Drosophila melanogaster: one gene and its partners. The protein of the gene in region 4 interacts with the protein of the main gene of each other region in a pairwise test. Each region holds a gene or a part of one and is shown on either strand. Other genes may lie near its edges. The genes, in order: Gas8, CG14384, gudu and CG34334.

Region 1 (4,908 bases), about 19 Mb from region 4:
AATGTAAAATCCCAAATAAGAAGACTTTACTCGTTGAGTTTTTGTAAGAAACTGATTTTATTTGGAAATATCTTCGGTTTAAATAGGTGACATGAGAATCGCATCTTAAAGTAAATGGCCTACGCAGAGGCCTACGTAAATAGTCCCCGCCTTATCGAGGTCCCACGCTCGGGCACATCTGCCTATCTTGAGCGGCGAGGACCTTATCTGTGGTCTCCCACTAAGGGACTATTTTAGGAGGCGGGGAACGATCTCAAGTGACTGACTCATGTAGTGTGCACTTAAATTACATGTTTTTGAGCAATGCACCCATGTCGCCTTAGATAACAAAATCCTAAATATAATTTATCGCTCTCGATTCATTTACATAAGATATGAACGGAGCCCAAAATTGTAAGTCTTTAAATATATTCGTGTTCATGTGTGAACAGGAATTTTTTTGTCTTGGTTATTTTCTAATATTGGGCTAGGGGTCCGTGAAAAGTTTAGTCCGCATATTGGGGGCTCCCGTCCTTATGGCTATTTAATGAGAGCGGCACGCCTGGTTACCCTCTCCTCCCCCCCCCTTTTGCCCCTTTTTCGTCCATTTTTACCCCTGCCACGCCCCCCCCCCCCCTTCCCTTAGCCGCTGCCCGCATATGTGACCCAACAGCAGACCGTGTTGTAATTGTTTTCTGTAATTGGCATCGTTGGCCGGCTGGTGCCAGGACTCGGCCTAGGAAGGGCTACTAGGACCAACAGGACCAACAGGACTACCAGGAGACGAACTAGATGCCACACGGTGGAAAAAAGACCAAAGACATTGCATTGCAAAGACAATTTGAAGTCAAAGTGAAGGAGCGCGTGTAAACTATTTAGAGACATGTGTTAAGATAAGTGTGTGGCATAAACAAATCGATGATATAACTATAATAATACGATACACTAGGAGTTTCCTTGCGTTCCACGAGTAAGAGCGTTTTTCAGTGCACGCACAGAAACAATTATGTGCGTTAGAGAGATCCCAGAGAGCGGAGGATGGTTGGGTATTTGTGGAACCTACAGTGTGCTCACTCGTGCAAATTAAGTGGTCAGTTTGGAACCCCCCCTCCCCATTTTTTGCCTTTAAATTTTCTGACTGCAAGGCTGCAGTCAGAGCAATTGCATCGGGAATTTCTTGTCCTCAACGCTCCTATCGTCCCTATCGTTGCGCCCGCGTCCTGCCTTCTCTTTTGCTTCTCTCCTCACGCAGATTATCGTTATTTACTAATTGTTTTGCTTGGCCTTTATAAATTGCCCTGAATGACCAATGTCCGCCATTCCGGCTGCCCAGATATCCAACTACCCAACTACCCAGTGGTGGCACCCTGCTGCCATTAATGTTCCGAAAATGAATTGCCAGGCAGTCCTCGTCCTTGTTCAGTTTGTCTACTCGTTGAGGGTCTTTAACAGCCGGTGTTCTTAAAGAGGGCACTAAATGAATTTTGCAACAATTAACTGATATCCTTCACTTCAATTACCGTTCAAAGTAGTTAAATTTGGGAATTCATAAATCTATGCTAAAGTGCAGTTTACTCGAGCTTTTTACTTACCTGGCAATTTTTTGCCTTTTTTGCCCTTTTTCCCTTTAGGCGGCTGTAAGAAAATAAGTTCAAATGAAATTATTATTTTGATTTAGTTTTAATCTCAAAAGAGAACGCACGTTACAAGAGAAAATCTTATTTAATTCATTTAAAGAATCCGAGCCGAGCAGGAAACTCAACTTGAAGTCTCGGCTGAACTTGCAGCAAAGAATTTCCACATTTGTCTATGCAAATTGAAAGAGTTCTACTCGCAGGAGAATGGAAATGGGGTACTGACTGTGCAATTGTCGTCTGCAGTTCGCCACTATTTTTCGCACTTTAAATCCTTTAACAACGTTTAATTCGATTCCCTTCACGTGGGAGAAAGGCAGCGAAAGGCGGAGAAAGCGGGCAACTGCCATCGTTGCTTTAAATAATGTGATGGCGCGGCTTTCAAAACAATTTCGCAACAGCTGTTGGCTGTTGGCTGCTGGCTTATTGCATATTTTATGACTGCAAATTATTCAAAAATTTTCGAAGCCGCCTGCGCCCGTCGCCAACCGCGCTTTCGCATGTCCAAAGGCGCAATGTATATATTTATATATATATATATATAAATATAAATATAAATATAAACATATATATGTAGCCGATGGAAAAAAGGCGGATATATGTTGGGGGCAGGTCTATACATAAACAAATGATCGAAAATAGACAACCAGCAGGAGTTGGAGAGGAGGACTCCTGCTTGACTGCTATAAATACACAGTGGAGCCACTGTAAAGGGAATAGTTATACTAACTTAGGTTCTCCCTACATATGTTCTTATATAGACAGAACGACTACTAAAGTTGCTTTGAAATGAATGCGCCATACCAACGTTGACATTTTGACTAGCAGTAGCAGGACAGCGCCTTGCCGAGGCTTCACTGTAGCCCACTCGCAAAGTGCAGTTTGTATATGCAGCAACAGCAACAGCCTGGCTTGGCATGAAAAATTGAATGCGCCGCTTGCAGTGCAACTGAAAAAAAAAATCTGAAAAGCTGAGACCAAAAGGAGCAGCGGCATGGAACCGGAAATCGGATAGAGGCGGAAACTGCTGCTGGCCAAGCAGTGCGGCCATAAGGCGGCCGAATGGGTGCACTGCTTTGTTAATGTGATTTAACAACTTATTGCTCACCATACTGCTGCCGGTGCTTCTTCCTCTGCTTCGATTCCTCTGCTAAGAATAAGAACCACTTCGGCTTGGTCTTTCCTGCCAACTGAGCTATTGGCGTTCTACGGTCCAACAACCAAACAAACTTATCGATAAAGCAGTTGCCAATGTGTGTGTTGTGGGTGTCTCGTGTATTCGTGTGTGTGTGTGTGTGTGTCTCCGGGCAACCGAAAGAAGAGGTTAAAGGTTGAAGCGTTGTTTTTTCGGTTCAGTCTTCTCTCAATTATATTTCTACGGCAGGGACAAATGGTTTTGAACTGGCAAAATTCAAAATTTGGGGAAACTTTTGCAGTTATCAACTGGGTTACTAGGGGCGGGAAGATTTTCATGTGCTGAAAAACATCTAACTAAAGCGTAGTGATATTATTCGAATATCATATTATATATATTTCTAAATACAAAATGCAGGTATACATTCAACAAAATAAACCACATCTACTTTGGTATACGCGTGTGCCCGACATTAGTTTGCTGCCCAAGCCAGTGAAAACCAAAAAGCCAGCCCAGACCAGACCAGACTCTTTCTCTTGTCGCCGTCTGCTGTCTGCTTCCTATAAATGGTCTCTTGAATTTTCTCTGCCCCGGTTTTCTTAATTTTCCACCCTGCACATTGGCCCCAGAATTTTCCCTGCATCTGTTTGTTTATTTGCCGTTTGTTGGACGGACTTTAAATGCTGTTGGCACTGCAGTCTCTGCTCTTGACTACTGGCTAATTTGATGATTTCGTGAAATACGATATTATCAGGAAGCTGACAGATCTTCGGCTTCTCCTTTTGCTTGAGAATTGCTTGATGGTCCTGAAAATCTCGGTCGAATCAACTTTATTAGTCCGTTGAATAGCACAGCACCTATGGCCTGGAATTTCCCCCAGAAACTCCGCCACTTTCCCGCCTTAATTAATGCTGTCTAGGGGCGGGGCAGGTTGGGTAAACAAAAGTCGGTGGGCTCTTCGGTTAAATGCTTTAATTGAAATTAATAACCGCAGCCAGTTTTGGCCAGTTGAGCAGTACGTCGGCAGTTGAGACAAGTATCCCGTGGCTTTCGCATGGGAAAACATTTTCGGACCCGGCACATAGACACCGAGAATTTTCAATTGTTTTCATTAAAAGTCAATTTTTGATAGCAAAGACGCTGTGGCTGGCTTACAGACAGAAAAACTATTATTTCCACGTTATAAAAATGTTTATAGCCAAGACTTGAAGTGGCGAAGCGACACGGAACAAAATACATATGATCCAACATATAAAATGGGAAACAAGTTTTGTTTTTTTTTTTTTGCAATCTAAGCCGTTAAGTTACCCAATTTTCCTCCTGTGTACCTTCAACCCTTTTTAGACACTTTTCCATCTGCCCTGCATAATTTTTGTTTCATTTTATTCTTGCCAACGGCTGCGGTCGGTCATGGCCCATTGAATTCCGTAACGGCTGCCAAGGGTTAAAGGGGTGGCAAAAATGGGTAGCCGCTGAAAAAGCACTGATTGAAAGTGAAAGTATTTAAAATATGATTAGAAAATTTGCTTATCAGGACCGAGGTGTGTGCGCGCTTTAAGGAGAATTCTTTAAGAAGCGAGAAAAGGTAAACAATTAATAAGATGAGTATCGTCTATGCACGATCCAATCAAACATAAAGGAATCTCGTGTATATCGTAGGAAAGCCTCAAGATCTCAGTTCTGCTGCGAAGTAATGATACGCTCCTTAGAGCTTCTTCCCTGTTGATTGAATAGCATATGGGCAGCCATCGTGAAAAATTCAATTCGATACAACCAACCAGCAGACACCTACTGAGATTTTCTACCAATTCAATTACGAAAATGATTAAATTATTATTATTCCTTATTTTCGAACAAACCTGCTGGTTTCCACACACGACAAATATAAAATAATAAAACCGCAAAGCCAATGCATAACATATATTGTTTTCAAATTAATGTTTTTACGTCTTGCGTTTTCTTTTGATTCTAATTGAGTTCCGTAATTTCCTTTTAAAGAAAATGCAATCTGTTAAGTTTTAGTTCTTTTATTTTGTCAGAGCTTTACTCTGGGTAAAAATTTATACATTAAATTAAATGTTTTATTACATATTGTTTTCGTTCTCGTAGCAGAAGTCCAATAAATGCCAACTCAGTTGATGCAACTTGGGTGTGTTGAAA
Region 2 (4,294 bases), on a different chromosome or scaffold from region 4:
TACAGGACACCATTGTCGTGCCCAGCCTGTATGCCTTCCACTCGGACGCCCGTATTTGGTCGGATCCGGAGCAGTTCCGGCCGGAGAGATTCCTGGACGCGGATGGCAAGCTCTGCCTGAAACTGGATGTCTCGCTGCCCTTTGGAGCGGGAAAACGGCTCTGTGCCGGCGAGACATTTGCGCGCAACATGCTCTTCCTGGTGACAGCGACCATGTGCCAGCACTTTGACTTCGTCCTGGGCCCCAATGATCGGTTGCCCGATCTCTCCCAGAACCTCAATGGACTGATTATTTCGCCACCAGATTTCTGGCTGCAACTACAGGATCGGCATTGAAAGTAGCCAAGATATTAGAGTTATCTATTTTTAAGACAAAGTAATTTTACTGATTACGTTAGCTAGTTTGCTTGGATATTTTTTGAGGAATTTTATTCCGTCACATTTCAAAAATATTCTAGAATTGCCCAATACTATTATGTGATGCACCACAACGAACTATTTATTTTAACATTGTCGTTTACTCATATCGTGTGGTATCAAAGTTCGCGAACGGAACTTGTTGAGAAGATGCGATTGGAATGAGATGGGTTTCTTAGAAATCCTCATTATCGCTGTATACAATGCAATCAGAATCTGAGCTGGTGGATGAAAAACTCAATGAGCGAACCAGCGAGACCATCGAAGAATGTATTGAGGGATTGGGGGACTGGATAGCATTGTACTCGGATTCTGAATCCGGATCGTATCCTTCCTCATCGTCCATTTCCTCTTGCGGGTTCACGAATGAGTTGTCCAAAGGATCCACCTCGTTGGCGGCTTCCATCGTTGCACCCTGAGTCTCATTGCGCAACTCGATCACTTCTTGGCGAATCTGGTTCTGCTCCTCCGCAATGGTGGCCACCAGTTGTTCGAGACTGCAGATCTTGGCCTCATATTCGGTCAGTTTCTTCTTCAGCTGACAGTTTTCGGCCCGACAGTTGGCCAATTCCAAGCAGGCGCACATGGCGATCTTGACGTCATCCGAGGTTGCGGACCTGGTACTGTATGCAAACCACATTGTTACCACAAGGAACACATACGCCGGATATCGAAAGCGATCTCTTGGCCGAAACTTACATGTTTAAGCCACTGGAGTTCTTATTATGAACCGGGCAATTGAGGGACATTTTGAGACTTGAAATTTATAGGCAGTTCAGTTTAGCAATTGTCTTACGACAAAATCAACTTTGACCTATTTGTACTCGGAAAGTTCACCCAGAAATATTTGACACTGTTTTACTGTTCTCTTCGATTCGAATGCAAATATGAGCTTCTGAAATACAGAAATTCAAGGTCCCTAGATTTTAATCTCCATTTTAAATGGGTCGCAAATCGAATATAAATCAAAAGATACAGTCAAATTACTGCAGATTGTTTTACTAGCCGAGCTGATAACAAAAATAAAATAGCAAACTGCAAGATAATGTGCAAACACTTTGACCAAAATGCCCTTATCAATATTAAGACAATTGAGTGGCAACAAAAAAAATAGAAAATAGAGTTGAAAACAAGGTGATAATTGTTTGGTTACGAAAACGACAACTTGTTCGCTATGAACCCAGTGTTTAAAATTCACTATCAAAACAAGTGAAGTTGACATACACATGAAAATATATCTTACTTAAAAGTAACTTTTATAAATAATAAAATAAATGTTAATATTATTTAAACTACTGGCACTTACGCCTTTTGGTGACTTCATCAGCATGCATTCACGACTCGAGCGGTTGGAGCTGCTTTTCCGGGGACACCTATTGACGCTCCTTGGCTTGCAGGCCGGAGTCGTGGGCTTTCGGGAACACTTGGGCACTATTTTCTTGCGGCCGCATCCCATATGTTTGAGTTTCTCCGATTGACGCCGATGACGCGAAGTGGAGCTTTTGCTGAGACACCGTTTCTGGTACTGCAGGGTATTAACGAAGGGCAGAAGATAAAGTTCGCCGGTCAGGGGGAAAGTGTGTAATCCCTAGGAACTTACTTTCGATCGATACTGATTCTTTTCTCGCGAACTCAATGCATTCCAGTACCCCGCTCCCTGACGCAGTGACTCCTCCATTTGGAGGTGCGGGGATTTAAGATGTATAGCCACCGCGTAACTTAAAAAGCCGTTTGGATACGGTGCCATCTCTACTTATACTTTTCAACTAACGTACTGAAATTTAGGATGCTAAACTAAGAATTACGTACAAAACATTCGAGCTTGAAAAATTGAAAGGTACAAATTTGAGTTGAGTTGCTGTTGCTAACTGATAGAAGTGAAATCTCAAAACTACTTGTTTAATAATAATTGCCAGTTTCTGGATTTGATACACAACTCTTCGTTGGCCTTAGTTTATTATGATGTATATATTACAATTTGGTTAAAAACTGTTCGCTTAGCCTAGCAACAAGCGGTTTAACTTCAAAACTTACAGATAATTTGTCATTACACTTAGCCGTATTAGATAAGCGAGAGTCGTTCCGTTCCGAGGACCCTTTCTCCAAATTTATATTGCTTCGACTCCTAAATATCAACTTACGAACTAATTGATTTATATTCACGTTGCGCATGGACCTGCATCCATGCCAGTAACTTGGCTAATACTGGCCACTCCCGCCGATCCCCAAATCACCCCGATCCCCCCAAGGTCCTTGGCCAACTCCTCCCTCGATTATCCTCGCCATTCCCCAAACACGCAGGTGAAAGGATTTAGGTTTTGGTTTGGTTCTAGTAGTAGGCCTGCTTTATGGCCGCACTGGTGATAAGGAAAGCGGAGCCAATCAGCATGAAGGTGATGATTTTGAGAGCACTTGGTCTACCGGAAGAATCTGCGAAAAGCGTGACATTCATAGATCATCCTTACTCAATTGGTTTTGCAAGGACACTTACTTTTCTTATTGGGCATCACGCGAATGCATTGATTCTGATTGGCGTTCGCCGAGTAGCCCAGCTTGCACTGGCACACGGAGTTGCGGCACTCGACATTCTCGGGATCCTTTTCTACATAGCACTCGGTGGCCTTGGTGCACGACTCTCCCAGCTCTGCAAGATTGCAACATATTAGAATTATTACAAATAATTAAAGAAAGCTTAGCGACTCAATTACCTCGCTTCGTCTCACAGACTCCGTTCTTAGCATGCTGCTCATCGTTGCATCCACACTTGCCCTCCGAATTGCAGCTCGCCAGGAGCGGCTTGCACTGCTCATCCTCGACGCACTCGTCCTCCAGCTCCTCGGCTATAATGAAATGTAATGTGGGGCAGGGCATAATTTTGCTGCTTTGCATTTCAGCTTCTGAGTACTAACCCTCTTTTAGGCACTCATCCTTAAAGTGCACGTATCCCTTTCGGCACTGGCAGGTGCGCGACTGATCCTCCTCGTCCTTCTCCTGGCATTCGGTGTTCTCAGGTATGCAGTCATCCTCCACCGAGCAGTCGGCACCGATGCCACGCATACACTGATCGTCCTTCTCAAAGTAGTTGTCCGCACAAACGCACACGCGATTGGAGCAGACGGAGTGATCCACAGGACAGCCATCGTTCGACTCACACTCGGCTCCCAGGCCACGTTTGTATTCGCAGAGCTGCTTGATGGCATCGTAGAGAGCGTACTCCTCGCAGGTGCACCTCCTCGGAATCTCCGGGTGGCAATAGGAGGCGCCAAATGGACTGCATTGGCTGTTCGAGGTGCAGGATAAGTGGTATTGAATGGCTGTTTTGATGGAAAAGGATATATCTTAAGTGCGATTCAGCAGCTAGCGTTGGAACCACCTACGTTTTCTGCAATTGCGCAGATCCCGCTCGTAGAAATAATTCTTTTGGCAATTGCAAGTTTTGGTCAACTGATCGAACTCGTACTCGCACTCATCCGTGCTCTCCGCAATTTCCCCCAGTTCTAAAGAATTTTCATTTCAGTTAATTTCATTAATAGAAGAATTAAATTGGGGGAAACCCAGTTTACTCACCGGCAAAACATTTTCCATTGCGGGCATAGTAACCCTGGCGACATAGGCAAATATTCTTGGAACAAATCGAGTGCGGCAGACCCGAGCATGTCTTTCCATTATCCGTGCAGCTGCTGCCATCTAAATGGGAAAAAAAATAGTTGAAATATATTTAAGATTGCCTAAGCATTGAGAGACTTCATTTTTTTGGGGGCATTCTTGGATACTCACACTTCTTCTCATCGGCATCGTCGTCATCGCGGCTGGAACCCAGCGTGGAGTAGGTCTTTATATCCTCGTCATCGAATCGGAAGAGGGCGGGCAAGCGGCGT
Region 3 (4,725 bases), on a different chromosome or scaffold from region 4:
GCAAATTCCCCAAGCTCAAGCGCTCCACCAGCGATGTGGCCAATACGGATGGAATCCTCACGCCCGATTCGGGATCCTGTTCCTTCTACGATGCCTCGTCTTTGGGCGTCGGTCGACATTCCTTTCTGGTCATCGGAAGCGCCTGTTTGGAGGAGAGCAACGGTGACCATACGGAGTCTACGGATGAGATTACGAGTAGCAGTTTGAGCAGCTCACGCAGCGACATCGATGCTCCCTTCCGTAGTAGAGCTTCGACGGACGGCACCCTGTTGTCCCGACCACGTAGATGGCGGTATCCACCGCCGGGATGCCTGCTGCCACACACGAATCGCGTGGAGCGACGGATGAGCATTTCCACCAGGGGCAGTAATGCCAGTTACTAGAGTGGAATTTTATGCAGGGTGGGTCGAGCTTAGTTAGTCAAAATATGTAGCGACAAATATATAATTATATAGCTAGATGTTATTGTCATGGAAAATGAAACATATTTTTCTGGGATTTCTGGTTTAAAAATTTACTAACTTATTAATTTATTTGCTAAAAATGCAAGAAATTGGTAGCATCGGCATACACACATATATTTCGTCAAATACAATTAAATAACTTAACAAAGAAAAAAAAACAGGAAGCTAGTCATCGTCGATTTTAAGCAGATATTCCTCGGCACGCAAGGCCAATTCGCGGATATTGCGCAGACAACCAGCGGCGGCCAACTGGAGCTCCTTGTTAGTGGATCCAATGCACTCCAGCAGGAAAGGAACAACTCCACTCTGAAGTAAAATAAAAGAATCTAAATGAGTTGCTAAGTGTGATTAGGTAGAAGAAATGTACCTGGTGCATGGTAATGCAGTTCTGCGGATCCATCGATAGCTTCTCCAGTGCCATGGCCGTGCTGCGGTGCACCAAGGGATTGTCGCTGGTCATGTAGGTGACAATCGGAGTGACAGTACGCAGACGTCCCAGTTCCTCCGTATTATTACCGAAGCAGGCACAGGCGGCCACGGCAGCTGCCAAGTTCATTCGAAGGAGGTCGTCGGTGGTCTGGACGAGATCGGCTAGCTTGTAGATGACTTTCAGATCGGTTAAGATGGCTAGATTGGTTTGATCCTGGGCAATTGTTGCAATGGCAGCACAAACGGCGGATAAGACCATGATATCCTTGGACTTTAGCAGACCCACCACCAGTTCCATGGCGCCAACCAAGCTCCTGACCAATTCAGCGGAATCGTTGGCATTTCGAACACAGGGACATATGGCGTAAGCCGCATGGGCCTGAACCCTAGTTGTGGGGTTCTTCAATAGCGACCATATCAGCCTGACCGCATCCAGATCCTCAAGGATTCTCATGCTGTCCGGATCTTCGGCACACTCCTTCAATCCCTTGGCTAAATTTTCCAGAAGAGGGGCGTGAGAACTGTTGAGTAGGGAAACCATTGCTGGTAATCCTCCAGCCTGACGCAGTTGCTCCCTATTGCTTTGAAATCTCACACATTCAGATATAGCTCCGGTCACGTTGGTCAGGACCTCGTCACACTCATCATTTAGCAAGGCCACCAGGTGGTTCACCGTCCTGAGTTGATCCAGCACTTTGACATTTGCATCGGTTACGGCACACATCCAAATCGCTCCAGTGGCGCCTCTCAATAAAGGCTTATTTTCCCTCACATTCTTGTCCTTTATGATAGTTACCAAAGGTTCCAAGCCCCCAGCCTCCCTCACCAAATCCCTGGTGGTTCCGTCGAAGGCGCACTTGTAGATCGCTGTACTGCCCTCCATCTTCAGCTCGGTATTTTCGGAACTCAGATGGCTCACAATGTCGGGAATCATGCCCTCGGTGGTGATGGCCAGTTGGAACTTCGGCTCCGAGGAGCACTTTCGAACGGTGCCCATTATGGGAATGACGACATCGATGTGACAGGACTTAAGGAGCTGAGCCATCAAAGGAACAATTCCGCTCTTGCGCATCTGCTCCATGTTGTGCTTGGAATCGGCCAGAGTGAAAAGAGCCCGGGCTCCAGCGCGTGTCATATCGAGAGATTCCAGATCATCTGGACTCAATTGGTCACGAGGCGTCTTTAGAATGCTATAATATAATTAGGTTTTTTTTTAATTATTTCTTATATGTGGTGATGTAGTATGAAGCACTTTATCCAATGCCAACTCACCTCAACTTGATGTCGATGAGATCCACCAGCTTGGGGATTCCTCCGCAGGTGCGCACATACTTTCTGGCCAGTCGCACCTTGCACACATTGGCCAATGTCTCGGCGGCCATGGTTTTTAGGTCCTTCATGGAAGAGTTTAGGATGTCCACAATGAGGGGAATGCCATCCAGATCTACGATGGTCTTCCTAATATCGATGTTCAGTGTGATATCTGAGAGAACTTTGAGGGCGCCCAAACAGCACTTGGTGTCGCTGCACTCCAGGATGTTAACCAAGACATCGAGTCCGCCGATGTCCGAGATGGCGAACTGATTGATCTGGGTGCTCAGATCGTAGTCCTTCAAGCAGCACAACGATACTATAGTGGCTGTCTGATTGCCCGCCTTGATGTATTTCACCAGTTTTTGGATATTATAATAGTCAGCCGGAATCTCAGCGGCTCGCGCCACTTCCTTCCAGCGTTCCTCCTCATCCGTAGACGATTCCACCTCCGTGGTATCCGAGTCCTCGGCGGCCACCTGGCGCTTATCCTTTGAGAATCTGTTGGGACAGGATCCGCACTGTTCTTTCTTCTTTCGACTCCGATTGTGGGACGTTCCGCTGCTAGTGCCAATCATCCTTTCGCGTTGGATTACTCACAGATTTGGCCAATCGTATTCCGGAAATATCTGTCGGTATGCCAGCTTTCTTCAGTTTTGTATCGGAATTTATTGTGTTTTTGTGTGGGAGAACTTTATTAGGCCAGGCAATTGATTTAATAAGGCGTGTTGCTAAGGTAACTGAGATAATTTCAAAAATACCGGGCTAGGGCAAAGGTATCTTAGCTCAAACTTGTAAGTTTTTTTTTATTTTAATAAATTTTTAACTACAGCTATCCAAGGCATTTAAAATTTATTTTATTCGCTTGGCCTTCGTTGAATTCGCTTAGCGGTTAAAATTAACCGTTTAGCAAATACATCGACCTGACTTAGCACAGACAATAACCATTCATAGTGCAGACGACCACCGCGAAATTTACCCGTTTCCGAAACTATCGAGGGTATCGCAGGGAAATCGACTGCCATTCCATCACCAGCTTGTGTTGTTTGTTTTTTATTTTCAATTAAAATCCGCGATCATCCGCAGCTGCAGCTGCATTGTTTGTTTACCAGCCGTCGTAGCACCAGCCAACTGAATTTCGTGTCCTGAGATGGGAAATGCGAGTGGCAAGCGGGAGACGGATAATCTCTACAATTCGGAAGAGCTACGCATGCTGGAATCCGCGTACAAAAACGCCTCTGGCGGAGCACTTGAGAAGTTGACCCAAGACAGATTGGTGGTAAGTCAAGTAAATCCAGTTACCGTGCCACGTGTGCACTGCGAAAATCAATGGCAACTGCATTCTGCATTTGCGGAAGGGTCAGGGTCACAAGTTCAAGGACGCGCGGAGTGAACTTTCTTCGGCAAAAAAAGAGAAATCGGGACTTTCGAGTGCATGACAAACGGCCGTCCATCCACCTGCTGCGATGGCCACCCTTCACTTGAATGGGTATATCCTTTAGGGCATTAATTTGTTGTTGTCACTAACTCCTATTTCGAGGATTAAACATTGAAGTTAATCATAGTACTATGTTCCGAAAAAGAAGCTTAGTTATATAAGAGAGTGAGTCGCAACATTATCCGGCATTATACAAAAGTTCAAAGTTTCTAAACCTTATTTTAATACAGTTCTTTTTCGATTTAAAGTGCAAACCAGGAAATTTAACAGAGTTTATAAAAAGTAAATTATTCAACTTGTTTAAAAATGTAATTTTCTAAACTAGTCAGTCCTATTTAGATTAAATGTACACGTAACTTTCCAAAATTGTTATTTTAACCCATTTAGTTAAATCAATCTGATCATACACAATTTATGCTATAATTTTTCCGATGCGGGTTCAAGGCCCCAGATTTGTGTTTTATTTTTATCACAGCACAGATGACGGAAATGCAACCACTCAAAAAATGTTTGTTTGTAACCAGATGATGATTTTTCCTTATAATATTTCCATCTATTTATAGCTCGTGTTTGATTATCACAGCGCTTCCTAGGGTATAGCAAAATTCGATATCTTCAACTCGGGCGTTATCAGTTTCGAATTGATAATTCCTGGGCCAGTGCGAACGTGTCCATAATTTGTCTAATTTGTTTGCTGCCGCATTTCACTGTTTGTCTTTTGCTTTGTTGAATTTGCTTGCTAACGAATTAGTCGTGATTTCAATGACTGGGGTCGTCAATTAGGGCCAAACCCAATTGAATTAAAAATAAACCATATGCTTAACCCGTTTACAGCATGGCATGTGAAATAGTTGATTTTTAGAATGAGGAAATTATAAGACTTGCATTCATATAGAGTAATTTAAGCGGAAACTCTCTAAATTGAAACTTTACATACATTGAAGTAGTATTTATTTTCATAAAACTTGAGAGACTTTGTTTTCAGTCAAACCAAATTATTATTCATTGTACGTCCTTCAATGGGTTAATCTGTGTCAGCGCTTCCCAGACCTTCGTTCCCTGCAAGAATTTGCTGACAGCAGC
Region 4 (4,950 bases):
TGAAATTTACAAGACTAATAAAATTATGAACAAACCAAAAAAAAGTGTGTGGGCGGTTTGTTGGCGATTGGGCGTGGCAACACGGGTCAGCAAGCTTTCACTGCGCATTTGTCTCTACAATCTGTATTCTGAATCTCAACCTTTTAGCTTTTATAGTTTCTGAGATCTCGACGTTCATACGGACAGACGGACAGACGACTTGTCTCGACTCGGCTATTGATCCTGATCAAGAATATATATACTTAATATAGTCGGAAACGCTTCCTTATGTCTGTTACATACTTTTCAACGAATCTATTATACCCTATTATATATATTATACCCTTATACAAGTTTTGGGCTTACCGTACTTTCGATATGGTTTGTTCTTGATTTTACATCGAATAGCGGTACTTTTTTTCTAAGCGTTCTCTACGAAATACCATTTACCTGTCTTTTGGTAATCGATTGATTGCAGTGGGCTTTTATATTATTACTAACAGATAACCACCTTACATACGATGATTATTTTCTGATATACCTCACAATTCTTTTTTGTGCGGAGCATGGATTTTTATTTTTATTTATTTTAAGCCCAACAATGTTTTTAAATTAGACTGGTATTAATAAGTAACTTTTAAAACGCACGATGTCCATCAAGTCTACATTTGTATTTGAAGTTGGAATGGAATAAAATAGGCATCTGGCAGAGTCCTGAAAATCCTGTCTGGCTTAATCTCGCCTTCCTTTTGCAACATTAGACAGGTCCGCCTATCTAGGGCGAACGCGAATCGCGTCTAGGGCGATGGTAATGCCCGTAGCGCGGCGATGAGCGAGTGTAGGAGCACGATTGCGAACGGTTGCGCCGAGAATAGCGCGATCCCGACATAGAGCGGACGCGAGAGTGGGAGGACCGCGACCCGTATTCCGAGCCGGACGCAGAGCGGGACGGCGATCGAGAGCGTGACGACGAGCCCGAGCGGGACAACGTACGCTGGCTCTGGCGCCGGTTGACTGGCGAGTAACGTCGGTATTGACGCCACGGCGCCTTTAGCATGCTTTCCTGAAAGGCGGACACCCTGATCAGCTTCCCATCGATCTGCCCGCCGTTCATATGCTTGATGGCACTGGCGCAGTCCTCTGGACGTGAGTACTCCACAAAGGCGTATCCGCGTCCCTGGCGCCCTTGGAAACGGTCCATTGGAAAGTCGACTGCCGTCAGGGCGCCGAAGTGACCAAATATCTCGGTTATGTGCTCCTTGGTCACCTGACGCGTCAATCCCTTAATGTGCAGGCGAACATTGCGCACGGGTTGGCGAAATTTGAAGGCGTCCTTTCCGTTTCTGTAGGCCACTTTGTTTACCTCACCCACGGCTCTGTAGCCCCGTCCACTTGCTTCTGCTCCTTCTCCATCCCCTTCACCGCGCCGATGGTTCCACTGGCTGCTGCAATTCCGCCCATTTTGATTTTGAACGCTTTGTTTTTGGCGAGTAGGTTCTGCACCAGCAGACGGTGAAGAGCCACGACGTGGAGGATCGTTGATCTTCGACGACTTGCCCTTGGGGCCTGAGCTGCCTGAGCGGTTCTGCTGAGGACTCTTGTCGTGATCTTTGGCTGTCGAGGGCCTGGCACTGGAGTGCAGCTGGGTGAAACTCGAGCTGGAACTGGTGTGGTTCCCGTGGCCTGAACTGGCGCTTGCGTTAGACCTGACCACCGCTTTCGAAGATGTGCTTGCCACTGAAGTCTTGGGGGCTTGGTAACCCGCCTTGCTGCCCGCGTTATTGGTGACAACCGTCTTTGAAGATTGGCCGGTACTGCTGTCCCCCTTATTTTTTGTGCTGGAGATGCTAGCGCCGCCACTTGAATTGGTTTCGGCCATACCAGTGGCGTTGGCAATCGTCTTTGTAATGGTTATAGTGCTAGACTGGATGATGGCTTGGTTGGTGCCGATAGAACTGCTGGCGGCCGAGGCGATGTTCTGCGAGGTGGAGCTGCGTCTACGAGACTTGCGGTCCAATACCACGCTGCTTGGCTCCCTCATAGGAGTTGGCATGGCGATCGGAGCAGGAATTGGTACCGGAACAGGGGCCGGAACGGGTTGCGGGTGGGGATTGTTATGGGAGCTGGAATGGCTATGGAGATGGGAGTGCGATTGCGAACGGGAGTGGGAACGCGGTTGTGCCTCCGAAACAGACAGGACAGCCGGAATGGGTGCCGGCACGGGCAGCGGAATGGGTGCCGGTATCTGAATGACCCCAGGGGCTGAAGCAGGAGAAATTTTTTCGACAACCTCCTCCTTAACCGTGATAGCTCCCTTGGCGGCGGATATGCCACGACGACTCTTTTTAGCCAAACGCTTGGAAAAGCGTCCGTGATTCGAGTGATGGCAACGGGTGACGTGCCGGCGACGGTGCGAATGACGAGGGTTTTGGTGGCGCCTATGGCGACGATGGTGTCGGTAATGGCAACACGAGTGCTTGGTGCGCTCAAACTTTTTGACGGATCCTTCTGGCTCTGGCTCGCTGTCGCTCGACGAGTAGCTGCTGCTGGTGGAGCTCAAAAAGCTTGTGCAGCTGGACGATCCAGAGGTGCTGTAGCTCGAGTCCGAGTAGCTGGAGTCGCTGCAGTCTGCTTCAGTGCTCTCCGAAGCATTCGAGTGAATTGGTGAGATGTTCCTCATCCGGGAGGAGGGGCCTCTGGCTGGCTCTTTGCGGTCCTTGCGGTCCTTGCGGTCCTTGCGGTCCCTGCGTTCTCTGCGGTCTCTGCGGTCCCTGCGGTCCATGCGCTCCATGCGTTCCAATCGCTCCCTGCGATCTTTCTTGTGCGAATGCATCTCCTTGCGTTCGCGCTTAGTGGCTGGCTCGCCATCGTCTTTTGCCTTCGTCCCTGATACCTTGGTCATTTTCACAAGATTTCACTTTCACTGCGAACAAATATGACGGCCTTCGAAACTATTTTGATTTGATGCTCCGTTACTCACACGTTGGGAACGGCTGCCTTATGAAAATGTAATGGCGTGTAAAAACTTGGTCTGACAACTGTCATAAAAATAAAAGCTGACCAAGCAAAGGCCACTCAATGATAGATAACAACTTTTTTGCTTTGTGGTTGCCACCTTAGGTCACCGCAGTAACGAATTCTCAAGCAATTTAACACTAGACCAGACCACATTAAGGATATAATCGTTGTCCAACACTTCGAAATCAGGGCTGTAACTATCGTCATTCAGGGAAGGCATTCCTATCACCTGTCAACATAATTTAAATATACACAGACAAGAAAAGGAAGGTAGCATCGGTAATACAAAGTTTATATACCCTTCCAGTTACTATACATTTAAATACAAATTTGTTGTATACCAAGTAAAAACACTTTATAATTAAAAGCACCGAAACTATGATCTCTTTATTATAACTAGCAATTAATATGACATATCAAATTTTGATCAAATGAACAATGTCCGTCTGTCTGTCCGTATAAACGTCGGGCTCACAGGAAGTATAAAAGATAGGAAGTTAGTTGTAAGAAAGTGTGCAGATTCGCAGATTAACTTAACCTATATATGTATGTTACGAACTGCCTTCTTTTTTTTAGTGGCAGTGCCCCTAGCTCAGGCTTTTCTCAGGGCGGAGTGCCACACAGCTTGCAACATAGGCATCGATAACTATCGACATCGACTATCGACCCTACATATCTATGATCTCTAAAAAGCAGACAAGCAAAAAAAAGTAGAAGAAAAAAAACGAATTCAATTTACATAAACGACAAAATCTTAAAGTACTGGCACCCAACCGACCTAGGTTGCACGAAGGATTATTGCGGACATCACTCATTATCAACACGTCGGTGTCGCTTCAAACGACTAGGACAGCCCCATCTCCCCAAAGGTGAAGCATTCCGGTATGCTTTCTTGTTTTATTACACATACATATAATTACTGATTAACTCTTACATTCTTTATTTTTTTCTTCAATCACTCATTAGGCAGCGATCACCCTAGATCGTCGACTGCTTTGAAATGGTCAAAATTAGTTGATTTTCTTTCAGATTATATTTCAGAAAGCTGACGATTCTTTAAAAGTGTACCAAATACCAATTACTTTTGGTATGCGGGATCAGTTTCGCTAAGCCAATTGGAATGAAGCACACGCTTTGGGGCTGACAGACTTTACAGTTGGTCAAAGTTGGATATAATTCTGAAAAAATCAACGACACAAAGGCTCACACGTTACATAAATGCTTAAATCAGCTCGAACAAGAGTGAACAAGGTTAGTTATAGTCCAAATATGCTAAATTCAAGCGTAATGCCATACCTGGTAAAATAAAAACTTCGAACACTTGTTTTTACTAAACATAAAAATGCGGGTCACAAACACATTATTTTTATTTCGAACATTTATTTCCTAAAGTTAACATAAGTTGTTAATTGAATTTGTTTTACTTTGTTTAAATTAAAGGTCAATAAACAAATACGAAACGTTACGCCAAATATTTAATGACCACGCGCTGAAACATATGTTTAAACAAGCAAAAACTCTTATGCTAACTCTTATAGGCTCAGACGGATAGTCAGTTAGAGTCAGTTAAAAAAGAAAAAACTGTATTTAAATATTTAAAAATGTGACTTTTGTCCCACTAGAAAAATCATCTGGCCCACTGGCCCACCGACGACAATTCAGACTCGCGATTGACACCGGATTTAGTGACAAATTCAGGTAAGCGTTTCAAAATAATTTACACAAAACAAAGCCTAATGGAATAATATATCCTAGCACCAGCGGTTGACGGCCGTTGAAATAATTGTGGCAGTCGACGTCTTCAGAGTGTCCAGGGAATCTACGGGAGTCAAGGGAGGTTGCCCTGGAAGACTCCTAATCCGAGCAGATTCTGACTCCTTAGTGTAGTGGACAAGCAAGTTACCAAAATACAGATGAATTTTCGACGGCGATGTAGACTGGCTTCACGAAATA

Evidence for each region.
Region 1: the proteins of CG34334 (region 4) and Gas8 interact in a two-hybrid assay, tested with the Drosophila melanogaster proteins (one large-scale study listed by BioGRID).
Region 2: the proteins of CG34334 (region 4) and CG14384 interact in a two-hybrid assay, tested with the Drosophila melanogaster proteins (one large-scale study listed by BioGRID).
Region 3: the proteins of CG34334 (region 4) and gudu interact in a two-hybrid assay, tested with the Drosophila melanogaster proteins (one large-scale study listed by BioGRID).

What each region holds. Positions count from the first base shown.
Region 1 is NC_004354.4:3,501,818-3,506,725, forward strand, and holds the start of Gas8 (growth arrest specific protein 8), read right to left. Parts: upstream 3,035-4,908; 5' UTR 2,725-3,034; coding exon 2,722-2,724; intron 1,615-2,721; coding exon 1,572-1,614; intron 1-1,571. UniProt on the Drosophila melanogaster protein: Cytoskeletal linker which probably functions in axonemal and non-axonemal dynein regulation. May play a role in the spermatozoa motility.
Region 2 is NT_033777.3:12,965,438-12,969,731, forward strand, and holds CG14384 (uncharacterized protein), read right to left. Parts: upstream 2,276-4,294; 5' UTR 2,164-2,275; coding exon of another isoform or gene 2,017-2,163; intron 1,942-2,016; coding exon of another isoform or gene 1,723-1,941; intron 1,312-1,722; 5' UTR 1,166-1,311; coding exon 1,116-1,165; intron 1,040-1,115; coding exon 592-1,039; 3' UTR 501-591; downstream 1-500. Other genes in the region: grsm (granny smith), read right to left, coding at 1,723-1,941, 2,017-2,163; Cyp304a1 (cytochrome P450 304a1), read left to right, coding at 6-335; CG7381 (uncharacterized protein), read right to left, coding at 2,746-2,846, 2,908-3,060, 3,125-3,256, 3,326-3,730, 3,794-3,913, 3,984-4,103, 4,194-4,294.
Region 3 is NT_033779.5:7,386,733-7,391,457, reverse strand, and holds gudu (gudu), read right to left. Parts: upstream 2,951-4,725; 5' UTR 2,783-2,950; coding exon 2,166-2,782; intron 2,084-2,165; coding exon 832-2,083; intron 771-831; coding exon 630-770; 3' UTR 556-629; downstream 1-555. Other genes in the region: CG5160 (uncharacterized protein), read left to right, coding at 1-383; CG5149 (uncharacterized protein), read left to right, coding at 3,355-3,483. UniProt on the Drosophila melanogaster protein: Important for spermatogenesis where it may have a role in sperm individualization.
Region 4 is NC_004354.4:22,870,947-22,875,896, reverse strand, and holds CG34334 (uncharacterized protein), read right to left. Parts: upstream 3,086-4,950; 5' UTR 2,882-3,085; coding exon 755-2,881; 3' UTR 530-754; downstream 1-529.